Linked DNA regions of Astyanax mexicanus. The protein of the gene in region 1 interacts with the protein of each later gene in a pairwise test. Links are inferred from orthologs where the notes say so. Each region holds a gene or a part of one and is shown in the gene's direction. Other genes may lie near its edges.

Region 1 (5,885 bases):
AAAGCTATTTATTTGCATAAAACATAAGAAATATCAATATTTTACACATATTTGTGTGGTAATAATGTCAAGGTCACAGTAACATTCAGTTTTATAATCTTCCTCTAAATGTAGTCTAACTTAAGGTCCAAACTCAACAAAACAATACTTAAAATACTTATATAATACTAATTTATATATATACTTATATAATACTAACATTATATTAATGCTAGAACATCTGGTAATTCATCAGCTAAACATAAAGAATGGGTGAATAAACTTTTGTAACATGTTTATTCAAATTTAATCATAATTTTAAATGGCTGGGTATTGACCCAGAGAATTAAGAGTGTTAGTAAATATGAGGAAAGCAGGAGGGTTAAAAATGATGAGTTTCTTTGATTTTACCAAATTGAAAAGCTCTGGAATATAATTAAGAAGAAGATGGATGATCACAAGCCATCAAACCAAGCTAAACTGTTTGAAGTTGCCAGGAGTGGCATAAATTTATCCAAAAGCAGTGTGTAAGACTGGTGGAGGAGAACATGCCAAGATGCATGGAAACTGTGATTAAAAAACAGGGTTATTCCACCAAATAGTGATTAAAAACAGGGTTGTTCCACCAAATATTGATTTCTGAACACTTTAAAACTTTATGAGTTAGAACTTGTCTTCTTTGTTTGTTAAAATGGCTGCAATGTCATGTAGGCTAATTTTGACAGATAAGACTTACAGCTCTCAGGAAACTGGGACCTACCTGTAAACTTCAGTAAGATTTATGGCCTGTTTAAAATAGCAGCCAATGCCTTACTGGATGTGCCCAGATTACACTAGTTAAATAAGCAAAGATGATCCGTTGTCCTCATTTCTTTAACACCATGTTACTAAAATATCTAAATTGTGAGGCTGCAGTAAAGTGTTTTCCTTTTCTGCCATCTAGTGGAGAAGAGGCTCTTTTCAGTGCAGTGCTAAATAAAATCATAAAAACATAAAAACTTGTATGTTTTCTTGTACATATAATAAACACAAGAAAAAAGTGCCAAACCTAGTTTGCCTGACTGCCACTGGCTACACAGAACTGTCAGTGTTTTTTTTAACAATAGGGAAACTGTTTGTTTTAAATTAAGATGCCAACAAAATATAACTTTTATGTTTCATGTCAAGTCAAGTCAAGAGGCTTTTATTGTCATTACATCTGAGTACAGGTACACAGTGTGATGAAATTACGTTCCTCCGGAACCATGGTGCAACATAGAACAACAAGCAATAGACAACATAAAATGCAGGAGTGACGACAGTGCAACATAAAATTATAAAATTATAACACTAAATAACAATAAATACAAAAGACGAGACAATTTAAAGACAGGACAGTGCAGTACCGATACGGTATAATAAAGTGTATAGTGGGGATAAGGTGCAGAGATGTGTGACATACTGTAACATATAGAACATATATAATCACAGCAGTTACTGAGGTAGAGTTTATAGTTTTTAAGAGTGCAGCAAATAAAGTCATGTCAGCCTCTGTGTGCTGACTGGGTGTGTGTGTGGGTGAAGTTCAGTTCTTTGTGAGTGTAAAGGGAGGGGGGGGGGGGGGTGTACAGTTTAGTTTTGTGTAAAGGGGGGGGGGGGGGGTTGTACAGTTTCATTCAACCCTGCTTGGTAAAGGCTCCAAGCATTGCTTTCGCTTTACAATGCAGATCAGGGTTGAAGGTAGGGGTGGGAATCACAGGGTGCATCATGATACGATATTACCAAAATAACAATGGTTTTAAGATACTGTGGTTCTGTGCTAATTCTCTCTGAAACTTCAAGCTGTGTTACTCATTAGAATAAAATACTCCTGAATATGCAAATACCAGGAATTATGTATTTACATAGATAGATACTTTATTTATCCCGAAGGAAATTTAGGCATCCAGCAGCAACAACACAATACAATAAGAAACATACTCAGCCAAATCAAAACACAGAAGAATAGAAAATATATAAGGCTATAAAAACTATAACAAACAAAAAAACCTAACTATACATGCGTCAGTTTCAAAGTTTTATACAATTTGACAACTAATATTCTTCCCTGCAGGTTTACCTAAAGGTGGAGTATGTAGTTAACTGCTGCAGCAGCACACAGAAGAGCGGAGGGAGAGGGGAGGGTTTAGTGTGGATGTGAGTGACTATAACTACTATTTTTAAGTCTATACTAGCTATATTCTCTACTAGTATATGTATGTTTAGACAGACTAGCTATGGTGTCCCTGCTGTACTGTTATTACTGTTCTGCTTCCTACAGTGAATTTAAGCTATTTTAGCAAACCTTCCCACAGCTCCAGAAACGCCACGCTGAGGTAATTATTTCCCTTTGCAAATTCCTCATGAGTGAAGCTACACCACAATTGTGTCTGATTGGCTGGTCTCGCGAGCCGACACGTGTAGCTCTGTCCTGTGATTGGTCTGTTCGCAAGGCTAGTAACAATAGCGTCACTCTGATTGGACGGCGACTGGGTGAGCTGGGCTCTGGCTTCACTGTGTGAATCTGGTTTAGCCTGTTACTGAGTAACTGTGGGATGAGTTCGCTGTAGAAATCGGTCTAGTTTTGTTTATTAAACTCAATATTGTACATAATTATAGCTTAAACAAATAATGCGAAGAGTCACGCTTTTTGTCAACGGCTCCTCCAAAAATGGAAAGGTGAGGATTGAAGAGTTCGTTACAGTGATGTTGAATGACTTTTGTGTAAAGGTGCAAAATCCAAGTTCAGAAAGTAAAAATCCTCTCCGGGATTTTGTTCTCAATGTCTTGGCGGATCGGCTGCGGCTCAAATCCCGGAGCGGATTTTTACTTTCTGAGTCCGCTGGCTCAACTAACTTAGCTAGCGCTAGCTAGCATGTATGGCTAGTCTTAGATAGAGGAAATCATGTTAACAGTGTTGTGTTTAGCTGGTATTTGTGTAAATAATGATAATCATGACCCGTGTTGGTGTGAAACTTGTGTTTATTTTGTAATTATAGCTATATTGTGTATTAATTTAACATAGCTAAGCTTAAGACTATAACGTTACATAGCATCTAATGGTCAGGCCCATCTAAGATAGCTTAGCTAACTAGTTGGGTAGCTACAGCTCTGAAAAAAAAAAATTAAGAGAGCACTTTATTTTCTGAATCAGTTTACCTGATTTTGCTATTTATAGGTATATGTTTGAGTAAAATGAGCATTATTGTTTTATTCTATAAACTACGGACAACATTTTAGTCAAAATTTTTCCCAAATTCCAAATAAAAAATATTGTCATTTAGAGGATTTATTCGCAGAAAAAGAGAAATGGCTGAAATGACAACAAAAAAGATGCAGAGCTTTCAGACCTCAAATACTGCAAAGAAAACAGCTTTATATTCGTAAAGTTTTAAGTGTTCAAGAAATCAATATTTGGTGGGATAACCCTGGTTTTTAATCACAGTTTTCATGCATCTTGGCATGTTCTCCTCCACCAGTCTTGCACACTGCTTTTGGATAACTTTACGTCACTCCTTGTGCAAAAATTCAGTTCAGCTTTTTTTTTTATGGCATTCATCATTCATCTTTCTCTTGATTATGTTCCAGAGGTTTTCAAAGAAACAAAATTTATTTAAGTGCTTTTATTTTTTTTCCAGATCTGTATACTTATTACCCAGCTAGCTAGCTAACTAACTACTAACCAACCAGTAACGTGTAAAGTTTATTTATCATTAGTTTTTTATAGCAATATGAGTACTACTATCTATAATTTCCCACATATATATTGATATTATGTCCCTGAAATGTCATATTATAACTTTACAACACTGATTGAAAGAAGGTCTGACTGCATAATATTGTCCTGAATAGGAGAAAATGTTAATTAAAACCGTTAATATATTTCATTGGATATGGAAGCACCTGTACATATTTCATTGTCGTTTCTTTAAGATATTTATTTAAATTATGAATATGAGTATGAAACATGTCATTACTTTATAGTGACCGTATCAATTATATTCTTATTATATTGTATATATAAATTCTTCCCCCTCATTTTATTTAATGAAGGCTTGTATTGTGAAAATATATTTTAAAGTTAACTGATTATTTTTTGTAAACCACCACCAAAAAAAAAAAAAAAAACTTTCTCAGAGGTAAGTTGGTGACCACTTGGTGTTTGTGTAGTCTTGTAGTGTAAACTGCTACAGCCAAAGGGATCATGTAGAAACAGAAAACCACGGCTCCAAAACAAACCTTCTGCATGGCCAGAGCTGTTTATGCAGAGTCTGACCACTTTCCCAATATTTCCCCAATATATCAGAAAGTTACTGTTCAACGCTAGAGGAAACTCAATGGGGGTGGAAAAAAGTCAAAAACTAAAATTATATGTAATAACTACTTGTTCTGAGTTTTATTTAATGTTATAAGCAAAAAAAAGTGTACCTGTATATTTCCATTGTTCGACAGCAAACAGGTTTAAGCAGTAAAGAATCTAGCGTACTGTGTTGAGATTTTCAGATATTTATAAATTCTGATTTTGCTCAGTTGCTTCATATGAACCTGTTCATCTTGGACTCACTTCAAGTGGGTATTCTCCTCTCTAGAGATTCTCTGGCATTGCTACTTTACACGTGGGTTTAGTTCTGGCATGTTCCTATGATTCTTTGCTCACTAAACTGCAGTGTGAAACCAAATCTAGCTGGACCAAATGTACACAATGTAACAAAGACCCAAGTCTTGGTGCAGACATTAAAGTGTAAAAACACCTTTAGTGAGCTGGATAATTTCAGTTCACATCAGTTTGAACCAACATTAGTTTGTTTCAGTAATCCTGACCTCTGCTTTTTTTTGTCTTGTAGGTTGTAGCAGTATATGGCACTCTGTCGGATCTCTTATCCGTTGCCAGCAATAAACTGGGAATCAGGGCTAGTAATCTGTACAATGGCAAGGGAGGCCTCATTGATGATATAGCCCTCATTAGGTAAGTTATGTTCCGATGGAGGTTCCTGGTACTGGTACTTATTGTTTGTCCTTAATCAACAAAGATTAATCATGTGTGACTCTCTGTTTTGCAGAGATGATGATGTGTTATATGTGTCTGAGGGAGACTCCTTTGTCGGTAAGTTGGTGTCATGATTAAGTTTGTCATTTCCTCATATACCTGAAACCTCACATGGGAAACAATGAAAGTGTCCTCAGAGCACGTATACACTTGTTTGTGTTTGGGTGTGTTTCAGATCCTCAGACTGAGGAAAAGGCTGCAGAGGACTCTTCAAGCTGCCACACTGATTGGTTGACTTTAAATATTGGTGGGCGTCTCTTCACGACCACACGGCAAGTAGAGTTCTTTTAAGATGCTGGGTGATGTTTTAAGGGTTTATAACCGTGTTTGAATAGTTAAAAAACGGTTACAAGCTTCAATTATTTTTGTTTTAGCTGGACTAGCCATAAGTACTAATTTACAAATGTTTGTGGACACTCCTTTAACTTTGAGTCCTGTAGAGAAGCATTACCAATAGAATAGAACTCTGGAGTAGAACCTATTGATACCTGACCATTGCATAATGTCAGTCATGGCCTAGATTAGTATAAAGTCTACTAGCATTGAGCTGTGGAGCAGTAGAAGAACTGTGCTCTCTAGAATGATGAGACTCCATTAGTGCTTGGTGGTATGACCAAAAATGCATATCATGGTATTTTGCAAGATTCTGGCGGTTTCACTGTATATCACTGTATTTTTATTATTATTTATTAATAGTTTATTTATTATGAACCGTCAGTATGTAACCTAAATAAAATCTGCAATAGTAGATTGAAATCTGGACCAAGTGAAATACACAGTTTTTCATCAAATAAATGGTTGAATCAACCATTTATGTTCAAGATATCCAATGAGGTTTTTG
Region 2 (5,885 bases), on another chromosome or scaffold:
GGGCCTCTGAGGCGTATTCTGGGATGGGAGGATGGGAGGATGGGGTGGAGGAGAGAAGTGAGGAGAGCAGCTTCAGGCTGGAGCAAATCAAATACACTCCAGCACCACAAAGCTACAGAGACAGCAAAAGAGAACAGTGATTCATTCTGGAAAACAGAGAACACCATCTCACCCTGCATACATACACACATCCACAGCAGCCTCACACTCTCTCACACAGCTCTCACATCCACTAACATTCACCACTGCAGCACTCACTACTCTGAGCCAATGGAAATAACGAGTGTGTGTATTTATCATACGCACACACAACAATTTATTTACCTAATGGCTCCAGCAGCAGACTGTAGTTCTGTGTGTTTATTCAGCTGCAGACGACTAATATCATATTTTCTCACTCGCTAATGGAGACGTGAATCCATCAACTGCCTGATAAACACCCCCATTTCATATCCCACTGATTCAGATATATTTATCAATATTTGAGCAGCTGTAAATGCACACAGTTATTATAGTTTCACAGCTTTCATCCAAATATCACACTGCTCCAACCTCTGGTGTGATGATCTGGGGAGCCATCGCATACCACAATCAGTCGCTCCTAGTAGTGATAGTAGGGGCACTAACAGCTCAGCAATATATGTGCAGGACATCCTTGCTTCTAATGACAGGACTTTTAACTGGCCTTTTTCAGCAGGATAATGCTCACCCACAATGCACAGCAGAGGTTTCCTGAAAATGTCCAAGAATATCAAATTGCAACTCTGCAACTTCTCTGGCCTGCTCTGGTCTTTATAGTCATTGTTAATTGAGCATTTTGTAATAAGGATGGAGTGCTACACACTAGTAGCTCTCCAGCCCAGAGGGTTGTTGAACCCAAGTGCAGAACAGTCAATCTTAATGCAGGTAAACCTAAGAAGAAACTAGTCTCCTCGGCCAGGCACCAGCTTTTACACATTTATTGGACAGTTTATCTATTAAAGTCAGTGGTGGAACCAGAAGAGGCCTCTTTCTGGGTTGTAAACTGCACATGGGGCTTAGATGGGACCCGTGTGAGATTAAGGTGACTGTAATGATGGACCCCATTCTGGCAAGCCCCAGTAACAGTCCCAGAAACACCACGTCCATACCGACCTCTAACCCAAATAAACTTAAAAAACCCATTCAACCATAGGCTAACTATGATAATAAACACTGGATTTTTTTTGGCTGTGCTTTTCTAATGTAATAATCTGTGATTGGTGGATTTGTACAACTGATATTCTCATGTTGGTGGACTTTTAGATGTGCTTTTCTTTTATTGGTGGAGAATGCACTGTTCTCTGAATGGTCCTAATTAGTGGCTGTTTTATTCTCCTAATCATTATTTTTGTTATTTTATTATTGTAAAAAAGCCACTAATTATGACCAATCAGAGAACAACCCATTTAAAATCCCAGAAATAGAGACGACTGAACACGGTGAATGTCTGTTTCTGAGAGCACACTGCTCTCTAGTGGAGGAGGGGTGGAGTTGCGTGGTTCATTACCTGTGAATTCTCAGTGGAGGTGTATTCATTAAACTATTGTCTTTCAGATGGTTCAGTTTACTCCAGAATATCCCCATATTAGATGAGTCGTTTTCCATCAGAAGTGCACAGTATATGTCTACAAACTGCCTACTTTGGCTTTAAGACCGATATATTTGTATAATCCTGATGGCTGTTTTGTATTGTATTTTATGCTGCATTTAAGTGGTGCTGGTTAGATCTGAAAAAAAAAAAAAAATCCCAGCAGAAAGCGAAATATTTGAAAATAACATACTCTACAGACCTAAATTGAATTCGGTATGTTTTATGCCCTTCACCAGACCATTTTTTTTCTACAAGCTATACATATTACATAGTGGTTTAATCTTATTGAGTTTATTTTTAGTCTGCATTTTAGTTAGCAAATTAGCCATAGTCCACTAAACTATCTGTCTATCTAGCTATTTATTTATTTATTTATTTATTTATTTATCAATGAGTGAAACCGTTTATGTATTTATTTATTCCGTTTATTTATTTATCTATTAATTAAATTATTAATTTAACAATTTATTTAAATCGTTTATGTATTTATTTATTCACTTTGTTTATTTATTTATTTAATAGTTTATTTATCAATGTATTTATTCCTTCATGCATACATGTATTTATCAATTATTAAATCATTAATTTTATTAATATTTAAATTTATTTATTAATTGTTGGCTTATTTCGCGCGCGCGTGAGGACTTCAATCCTGGGGCTCGCGCGTCATTTCCGGCTGAGTTTGAATCCGCGGCATGGACGCGCAGGGAGTGCTGGGTGAGTCGGTGTTTCAGTATTTAAGGGTTATAAGTGTTAATTCAGGCTGTGCGGGATCTGCGGGCTGTGCGGGGCGGTTATTCTGCTGTTTATGATGTTTGCAGATGTACTGTTTATTTATTAAAACAGTAAATATCAGCGGTGTTCGGCTCTTGCCGGCTTGTGTTTCGAATTGTCCGTTCCACCTTAAATATTGAGTCAGGCGGCAGATTATAACCCGTCTAACTTCAGCACCGTTTAAGGTGGAACGGATAATTCCAACAAGCTAAGCTAACTTTAGCCTCGTGACCGCGTTTAATAGTTTTAATCATTAAAATAACATAATATAGCGTCACTACACACATATTAGATCATTTAATACAACCTTAAAGCACAAAATAATCCCTATAATTTAAATAATAGTTTTACATTGTACCGTTAGCATGTAACCTAGCTTAGCTAACAAGCTAACTTAAAAAAATAATATATATTACTACTGTTAGTTATAGTAACTTTCTACTCACACACTCACACACTGCTCACTACTGTAGGTTAACTTTTTATATTAGTATATAAACAGTCAAAAGTTTGGACACACCTCTTCTCATTCAGTGTTTTTTTCTTTCTTCTTCTTATTTTTTTTTTACCTTGTACATTTATTATTGAATACTATATTATACCCATGCGGGAACACATGCATACTTATTTATTAAACCGAAAGTGTTAAGTACATCAGAATATGTTTTATGTTTTAGATTTTTCTTTGAGGACCGATTTGCACACACGTATTTTAATCTTAGTGTCTTAATGTTAGAGAGTTTAGGAATAGTTTTCTCAGCATCTTGAAGGAAGGAGTTCCTGGAGGTGCTGAACAATAGTTGATGCTTTTCCTTCATGCTCAAATAACCAAATCTTTTTTTAACAGTTTACTACAAAATTCTATAGTTTTCATGTCTTTACAAATTGAATAAATAAATTAAAAAAAGAAAACACTAAATGAGGAGTCCAAACTTCTGACTGGTAGTGTATAAACTATATTATTCTAATGTGTTAATAGAAAACAGCAAAGCCTATTTTATAACAATATAACAGTAAAACAAATATTAAAATTAATAGTATAACTTGAGTATAATTATTTAATAATAATCATTATAAAATCACACACAGTTTTCAAAGCTTTCTCTGTGAATTGCACGGAGATATCGGAATTACAAGGGTGATAATTTTGTTCACCATTGAGATACTGAAATGGGCGTTAAGTACTTTAATTTCTTTAGGTCAAGATTAAATTACATTCCCATCTGTTATTAGGAAAGTAAAAGTCAGTGAAGTTTAGTAAATGTCTGTGGATGTTGTAATGGTCCAGTCTCTGCCCAGAGGAACATTTTGCAAAGAGGGATTTTCCAGTACATTGGTAAATTTAGGTTAGAAGTGAACAGTAGTCTGATAAGAAGCTCATTATACTGATGGAGATTCATGAATGTTGTATTCAGAGATAAAACAGTAAAGAAACCGCACCAACCTCCCTTTTTTAAATCTTTAATTAGGATTTGAACCGATGGCTCTGGGCTCCCCCACCTCCCCGAAGCCCGGCCCTGGGGCTCAGTTCTTGCCCGGGTTTCTGATGGGGGACCTGCCAGCTCCCACCACCCCCCTGCCCAGAACGATCAGCCTGAGTGGAGGAGGTGCAGAGATGAGGTCTCCTCTCCTAGCAGGTAAACACAAGAAGATAAAAAGCTTTAAAGTGTCTGTATTACTTTGTCTCTAAACTGAAAGCAAGCATTTCTTAGTGGAGAAGAATATGGACAAAATACTGTGTTTAATGGTACCAGTGTGCTGGAAAGACCATCCCTGCCAAGCCTAATATATTTATTCTAAAAACTGGGGTGTCGGGTCGCTTTTTGCGAGAGTAGTTCTTCTGGCCAGGTCACACGTCTTTATGTACTTACGTTACACAAACAGCCTCTGAAAGAGGATCCGGATCAGTTTTACTAAAGTCGAGTGGTTGGTGGAGCAATGGGGACTTCAGAAGAGGAAACTCAGATCTCAGTAGCTAATTCACTCATAGTAAAACCAAAGAAATGAAGGAGTGAAGTTTCTGACTGAGCTCTCTCTCTCTGTCTCTCTCTCTCTGAACATAACCTGGAATCGGACCAAGCAAACCAGTTGTTTTTCTATGAGTCAATTGTAGACCGAAGTCATGTTTAGCAAAGTTCTGCTATTTCCTTATCTATATTATTCCTCCCTGCTGTACAGTCAGTTGTGTGTAAGGAGTTCAGTATGTTATGTGTCCTAACTGATGAGTGCCTGTTCCATCAGGTGGTTCTCCTCCTCAGCCTGTGGTTCCCACGCCCAAAGACAAGAGCGGTGCTCCTCCAGTCAGAAGCATCTATGATGACCTGACCAGTCCGGGCATCGCCATGTCCCCCCTGGCATCATGCAAACAGGTGAGTTCTGGCACTGCACCTGAAACCTAACCGTCCATTTTATTGCAATGTAAAATCCTAATATGTGTAAAATTTTGTGTTTCAGCCTTACTCTGTGCTGCACACTCCACTAGCAGGTGTGATGGGAACCCCTGGTACAGGTGAGGGTTTATCTGTAACTTCAGTTTTAGCTTATGAGTTGCTTTAAATATAGATTCCAAGCAGGTGTATTGTAACATTTTAAATAAAATGAAGCATGATCATATGTAAACACACAGTGTGTGTCTCTCCTGCTGCAGGTGCAAGTATGTTCAGTCCTGCGGGTTTGAGTCAGCAGAGGAAGAGCACCCTCTCACCTGCACAGGTGGATCCTTTCTTCACTCAGGGAGACGCGCTGTCCTCAGAAGATCAGCTCGACGAGACCTGGGTCACAGTGTTCGGGTACTTGAGTATAGTAAAATATAGTAAAAATAATACTCCAGTAGATACAGATACAGTATTTTAGTAGTTAAGTACAGTAATGAAGTAAAAATAATACTCCAGTAGATACAGTATTTTAGTAGTTAAGTACAGTAGTGAAGTAAGAATAATACTTCAGTAGATACAGATACAGTATTTTAGTAGTTAAGTACAGTAATGAAGTAAAAATAATACTCCAGTAGATGCAGTATTTCAGTTCTTAAGTACAGTAGTGTAGTAAAAATACTCCAGTAGATACAGATACATTTTAGTACTTAAGTACAGTATTAAAGTAGTTCTATTTCTTTACAATAACATCTCAGTTTGTGTTGATATCTAGAATTTGTATGTCATTGTGTGGAGAACTATAGTTGTGGTGTTTTGGTTTCTGCAGGTTCCCTCCAGCTTCAGCCTCCTACATCCTGCTGCAGTTTGCTCAGTATGGGAACATACTTAAACATGTAGTAAGTATTTAATTAAGAATATATATTCCTTAGACACATACAACATACTGTTTGATTTTTTTTTTTTTTGCAATGCATATACATTCAGATTAGTATATAAATATTGTATTGTACGTTTCTTCTTTTCAGAAAACAATCTCATCTCAATTTTGCTCATAAGCATATTTAAATACGAGATTTTTTGCTATATAGCCCAGCCCTAGCTCCAGTGTACTCTGTAACTGTGTG
Region 3 (5,885 bases), about 17 Mb from region 1:
TCCCCTTCAGTTTCAAACAGTGTAAAAAAACAGCAGTAAAAACAGTAAATAATAAATACATGTTAAAAGGGAGAGTGCATGAGTCAGTTATGTTATGTAAAAAGAAATAAAGGCAAGTATGTTATATGACTGTTTTGTAAGAGCCGGTTACAATAAAATGACATAACTGGGACTGTTGGTGAGGGAGGTCATTAGGGGTCAATCTGGGACTTTCTGCACCCTCACATTATACACTAACATTATAAACCCTGAATAAAAGCAAAGAGTAAGAAATCCAGAGAGAAGAAGCCGCAGAGTCTATATTTATTACAAACAAATAATCTGGACTGATCTGTGTTTTGCAATTTGACCTAAATGTTACATGACTCTCATTCCAGTGCTCTCATAACTCAGGAGCTGGGAGTTGAATGCGCATGCGCAGACACACTGCCCTAAAACAAACCCGGACCTTTTTTCGTTTGTTTCACTGCCTTAAAAATCACCGTTTATTACGGATTAAAGTTCCCGCTGATGAAATAAAATAAATATCAGCCAAAATCGCCGACATGTTCCTCACATAGCTGTTTTTTTTTTTTTTTTGCGTTTTCGCCGACTAACACTCACGTGTCTGTGTTGCTATGGGACGCTTAGCCTGGTGCTGCTAAGCTAACGCTTGTTGTGCTAATGTTTTGACAGGAATAAAAGAAGAAAAAATATTCATTTTCTTTTAACTTAAAATAAAAAAAAATAAGAAGGTTTAATTTTATAAACTTAAAGTTAAGAAAAAAGGTTTCAATGAACATTATGTTAATTTATGTTTTTTTTTTTAGTTTAACTGTATTCATTTAAATTTCTGAATAAAATTGTTTACTTTTATTATCTAAATTTCATGTTGAATTATATGTATTCCTCTGACAGTTTGTTGACACTTATAAAAATTTTTATATACAGCTCTGGAAGCAATTTACAGACCACTTCAGTTTCTGCATCAGTTTCTCTGATTTTGCTATTTATAGGTGTGTTTGAGTAAATAAACATTGTTGTTTTATTCTATAAACTACTGACAACATTTCTCACATTTCTCTCCAAATAAAATGTTGTCATTTGGAGCATTATTTGCAGAAAATAAGAAATGGCTGAAATAACAAAAAAGATGCAGAGCTTTCAGACCTCAAATAATGCAAAGTGAACAAGTTCATATTCATAAAGTTTTAAGAGTTCAGAACTCAATATTTGGTGAAATAACCCTGGTTTTTAATCACAGTTTTCATGCATCTTGGCATGTTCTCCTTCACCAGTCTTACACACTGCTTTTGGATGACTTTATGCCACTCCTGGTGCAAAAATTCAAGCAGTTTAGCTTGGTTTGATGGCTTGTGGTTATTCTTTCTCTTGATAATATTCCAGAGGTTTACAATTTGGTAAAATCAAAGAAACTCATTTTAATTATAACACAATTATTGTAAGAACATCAAGAAATGCAACAAAACTGTGCACTTGCATACGTAAATGTAATAAACACTATTAATGTAAACAAACTACCTTCCACTACCAGATCAGGAACATCACTCTCTATCTTTCAGAAACTCCTGAAGACAGAGCTCTTCAAAGAGCACTTACTCTCTTATATCCCATTATTTCCCTTTGGCCTCTTTTAGGCCCAGTCTTAAATGTTTTTTTTTTAACTTGATCTTCTATGTCTTTTACTACTTAATGTACATCATTATTGTACATCGCTTTGGACGAAAGCGTCTGCCCAATGTAATATAATGTAATATAATTAATGAATGAGTATTTGTGATGGGAAGGCTAACCAAGGTATTTTGTGGTTGTCTCAAATATTGCTGAAACAGCCACAGCCACAGCAATTCAGGTGTTAGGTGTCAGATCTTCATGTGTGGTTAAGTGTTGCTGATTGGATCAAAAAGCTACTTAAGAGATGAGATTAGAGTATAGGGGAAGGGAATGGGCCCTATGAGTAACCTCAGATGTTAGGTGCATCAGTCATCATTTTCCTCTATTATGTTACTTACTACATAATGTAACTGTAGTATAACACTAATAAAATGTCAAATGTAATGTGTGCTAATTATACAACGACGCATTACAACATTATTGAATATGTGACATGTTTTCAAGTTGATGATTTGTAATAGCTCGCCTATTAGATTATTGTGCTTTATTTAACCTTTTGGCTGAGTTAAGTGAAAAGTTACACTTTGTGACAGGTCGGTAACTCTGTTATCTGTATAACTCTGTGATGTTGTGGGATTTGTCAGGGTCTGGTTGTACTTCAGTGTCCCGGTACACCGTGCCGTCTGTCTATTGTGTGACGCCTCATTTCCAGAGTTACAAAACTCACCGAGCGCACGTTTTGTAATCGTCGAGTTCTGACCAATAGGAGCGCAGGAATCTGCCCTCACGTGACCGTGTTTTTTATGTAACTCGCTTTCAGCGCTTGTTCTCGCGCTGGGCAAGGATGGCTGTGATACTATTAACAGTTATTATATCTCTGTGCTGAAGTTATTACGGTGATAATACTAGAGTTATAACACTAATACGCGGGCTGACCGCTCCAGCATGTCGGTGGAGAAACGCAGCGGGGCGCAGGCGACGGAGGCCCGGGCAGCAGGCTTCTACATAGCGGCGCAGGGAGAGGCGGAGTGGGGCGAGGACTCCAGCGTGGACCCGCAAAGCGTGATACTGCGGAAAGCGGACTCACTGGCGTCCCAGAACCGCCTGAAAGAGGCGATAGACATGTTCTGCGCGGCACTGAGGCACGACCCCATCCGGCCGGAGCAGCTGGGCGCGCTGGTGGACTGTATCCTGCGGAACTACAAGCAGGGGAACGCCGGGGAGACTGTAGCGACTCTGCTGACCCAGGGGAACCGGGGACAGGTGGGGGACTCGGGCTGTATGTTTGACTGTCCCGGGTGTGGCAGGTTCATGTGGGAACCTGTGACCGCGGCATGTGGACATTCCTACTGCAGAGGCTGTTTACAGCGGATACTGGTGCCCCGGTGCCAGGTGTGTAGCGAGAACATGGACCGGAGCCCTTCAGAACACAAACCCAACGTGGTTCTGAGCGGACTGCTGGAGAAGTGTTTCCCGGAGGAGGTGAGGAAAGCCCGGCGGGTTGGAGAGGCTGAGGGGCTGATGAGGAGTAAACACTGGGAGGAGGCTGCAGCGCTGGCCAGTGAGCTTTTAAAAAGCGGTGAGCTGTGTTTTTAACTTATTTCGTCTTTATCCTTCGCCCTAAACAAATTATGATATAAAACAGCACTGTTGTCCTTTATTACTGACAAAAGTGGAGAACCCCCACACAGTTTGGGCTTTTCCAGGCTAAACGATTACATAATTTATTCACATCGCCCGAGTTCTACTGACCAACATTTCAGAGAACCGGCCCCGCCCACGTCGTTCCTGGATTCACGTGACTCCGCCCACCAGCCTTACGAAACGCGTTTTTACGCGCGCATGCGTGGAGAGATGAAGGTTGTGTAAGGTTAAGTGTTGAGTTTTGTAATGTGACATGAGGTGAAGAGAAAGTGAGGCCTTTATTAATGGTAGTAATAACAATAATACGACGTATGAATAATGCTGATACTAATATTTTACTCATAATAGTTTACATGCTTACTTGTATGTAGGTATGCTTTATATAATTATAATGTATATCCAAATGCCATTACATAAATAGAATATATACACTCACTAGCATTTTGACAACTTTATTAGAAACACCTGCTCACAACCTTGTGCTTAAACTCACTAACCACTTTATTAGAAACACCTTGTGCTTCCACTAAGGATAAACTGAAATTAATTTTCTCAGGCTGAAACTGAACAAAATGACTGAAATGTTTCATTAATGTTGCCAATTCTTTCACCTTTACATACATTTGTCTGGATTTTTTAAAAGAATCACCTAGAACAATTTCTAGCTACAGTGTAAAGTATTTATGGAACTGTCAACATTTTTAACATCCCAGCAGATGCAGCACAATACAACAATATGACACAATATACAGTACCAGTCAAACGTTTGGATACACCTTTTCACATTCAATTAGTTTTCTTTCTTTTTATGATTTATTTTTACACTGTACATTTAATATTGAATTAAGTAAAGCCATACAGGAATATATGCAGAACTATACTGTGAACTAAAAGTGTTAAACAAACCAGAAGATGATTTATACTTTTTTTTTTTTAAACAGCATATTTAGTTTTGAGGACAGATCTGCACACATTTGGTATTTTAATCTCAGTGTCTTCATGAGGGAGAGTCACCTGAAATAGTTTTCTCAGTGTCTTGAAGGAGTTCCTGGAGGTGCTGAACAATAGCTGCTGCTTTTCCTTCACGCTGTGAAGCTCCAGCTCATCCATCCCAGTTGATCAGGTTTAGGTTAGGGGATTGTGGACAAACACTTTTTTTTTTTACCATTTACTGCGTAATTCCATATGTTTCCTTAATTATATTTATGTCTTTAATTATAATATACAGTATAAAAAAATAAATGAAAGATATAGGAAAAGCATTGAAGAAGCATAGAAGGTGTGTCCAAACTTTTGACTAGTACCGTAAATTAGTCAGAGTTTAGTATTAATTGTTTTTTTTTCACATATTTTGAACTCAAAAAGTGCTTTTTTTGGACATTTTTGGATCAAAACCTTTGGTTGCCAAATATTTGGCGCACCCTAGCTTCCACTCACTGACCACATGTAGAGAGAAAGCACATTGTAACACTTTATAGGTCAGTTATCGGTCATCTTCAGGGTCACCACACTGCGTGTACACCGAGAAACAGGCCACGGGGCACTTCAGGTCAAACCTACTGGCCAAGGTTTCCTTGCATTAGAGTCATGTAATCACATAATTATTTTATTATGCAATTAATTATATGTATTCCTCTCTGCATGTTTTCAGCAATGGTATAATGTTGCTGTAAATGATCAGAATCATGACTCATGGAGTGAGTGGTGTGTCACTGCCACTGCCAGCTTCTGTGAGTGTGTGTGGGTGGGTGAGCAAGCTGCATTATCAAGGTGTCCTAGTCTGCCCTCTGTTTTGGGCGCTTTTGAATAAATGTATGTTTTTTTTTTTAATCTGAAGGCTGACGCTTAAATTCCTCAACTCTGTTTCTGAACATGAGGGCTGACAAGGACACCCTTAGACTGCAGCACACACACACAGACCAAACACATCAAAAAATGTTAAATAACAGCAAGGTAAACTGCATTGCCTGCGTGCAACAACAGAGGTAGCTCTTTACACTGCAGAGTGGGCTCTTGTAGCATCATGAGGCTGGAGGCAGAGTGAGGTACAGTAAGAGAGTGAGGTAGTGTGTGGTAATACAAGGAACAGTCTATGTATCTATCTGTTTGTCCATGTATTTACATTACATTAAGTAATATTATTAGTATATTAAGTTGTCATTATTGTTAATATTATTATAAATTCTCTCTCTTCTGTCTCTTTTCCAGACCCTGGCAATGTTAGACTGCGAGTATGTCGAGCAGAGGTGTATCAGAGTCTGCAGCTCTATCAGCTGGCGCTGGATGACTGGGAGGTGTGTTTAAGCGCTTCACCCTCACTAGAGGTGAGCATGATTGGTTGTTTGATTGACTGATTGATTTTTGATAATTAGGTAATTAACTGAGGTACAGAATGCTGGGCAACACTAGGAAGGAACTGTGGCTGCTTTTGGTTTCCTGAGTGAGTGACTGATGGTGAATGATAACAGGCTGGACTGTGATTTGTCCTCTCTATTGTATGCTAGGTGTTTAGCTAATATAACTGACTACAGTACTGACAAGAGGTCAATTGTAAGTTAACTGATTTAAGTATTTACTGAAGGATTTGATGTCCAAACTCTTACATACAGAATTAAAAATATGATTAA

The links.
Region 2: the proteins of kctd9a (region 1) and nup35 interact in binary tests that used the Homo sapiens proteins (3 or more experiments, as listed by UniProt). The two-hybrid records come from large-scale screens. The link is inferred for Astyanax mexicanus from reciprocal best matches to the Homo sapiens genes KCTD9 and NUP35.
Region 3: the proteins of kctd9a (region 1) and lonrf1l interact in binary tests that used the Homo sapiens proteins (3 or more experiments, as listed by UniProt). The two-hybrid records come from large-scale screens. The link is inferred for Astyanax mexicanus from reciprocal best matches to the Homo sapiens genes KCTD9 and LONRF1.

The regions. Positions count from the first base shown.
Region 1 is NC_064419.1:25,585,197-25,591,081, forward strand, and holds the start of kctd9a (BTB/POZ domain-containing protein KCTD9a), read left to right. Parts: upstream 1-2,505; 5' UTR 2,506-2,628; coding exon 2,629-2,676; intron 2,677-4,841; coding exon 4,842-4,963; intron 4,964-5,057; coding exon 5,058-5,101; intron 5,102-5,219; coding exon 5,220-5,316; intron 5,317-5,885. UniProt on the Homo sapiens protein: Substrate-specific adapter of a BCR (BTB-CUL3-RBX1) E3 ubiquitin-protein ligase complex, which mediates the ubiquitination of target proteins, leading to their degradation by the proteasome.
Region 2 is NC_064418.1:46,394,443-46,400,327, reverse strand, and holds the start of nup35 (nucleoporin NUP35), read left to right. Parts: upstream 1-2,272; 5' UTR 2,273-2,307; coding exon 2,308-2,329; intron 2,330-3,855; coding exon 3,856-4,023; intron 4,024-4,627; coding exon 4,628-4,755; intron 4,756-4,840; coding exon 4,841-4,895; intron 4,896-5,033; coding exon 5,034-5,175; intron 5,176-5,587; coding exon 5,588-5,657; intron 5,658-5,885. UniProt on the Homo sapiens protein: Functions as a component of the nuclear pore complex (NPC).
Region 3 is NC_064419.1:8,756,255-8,762,139, forward strand, and holds the start of lonrf1l (LON peptidase N-terminal domain and ring finger 1, like), read left to right. Parts: upstream 1-2,467; 5' UTR 2,468-2,559; coding exon 2,560-3,193; intron 3,194-5,466; coding exon 5,467-5,582; intron 5,583-5,885.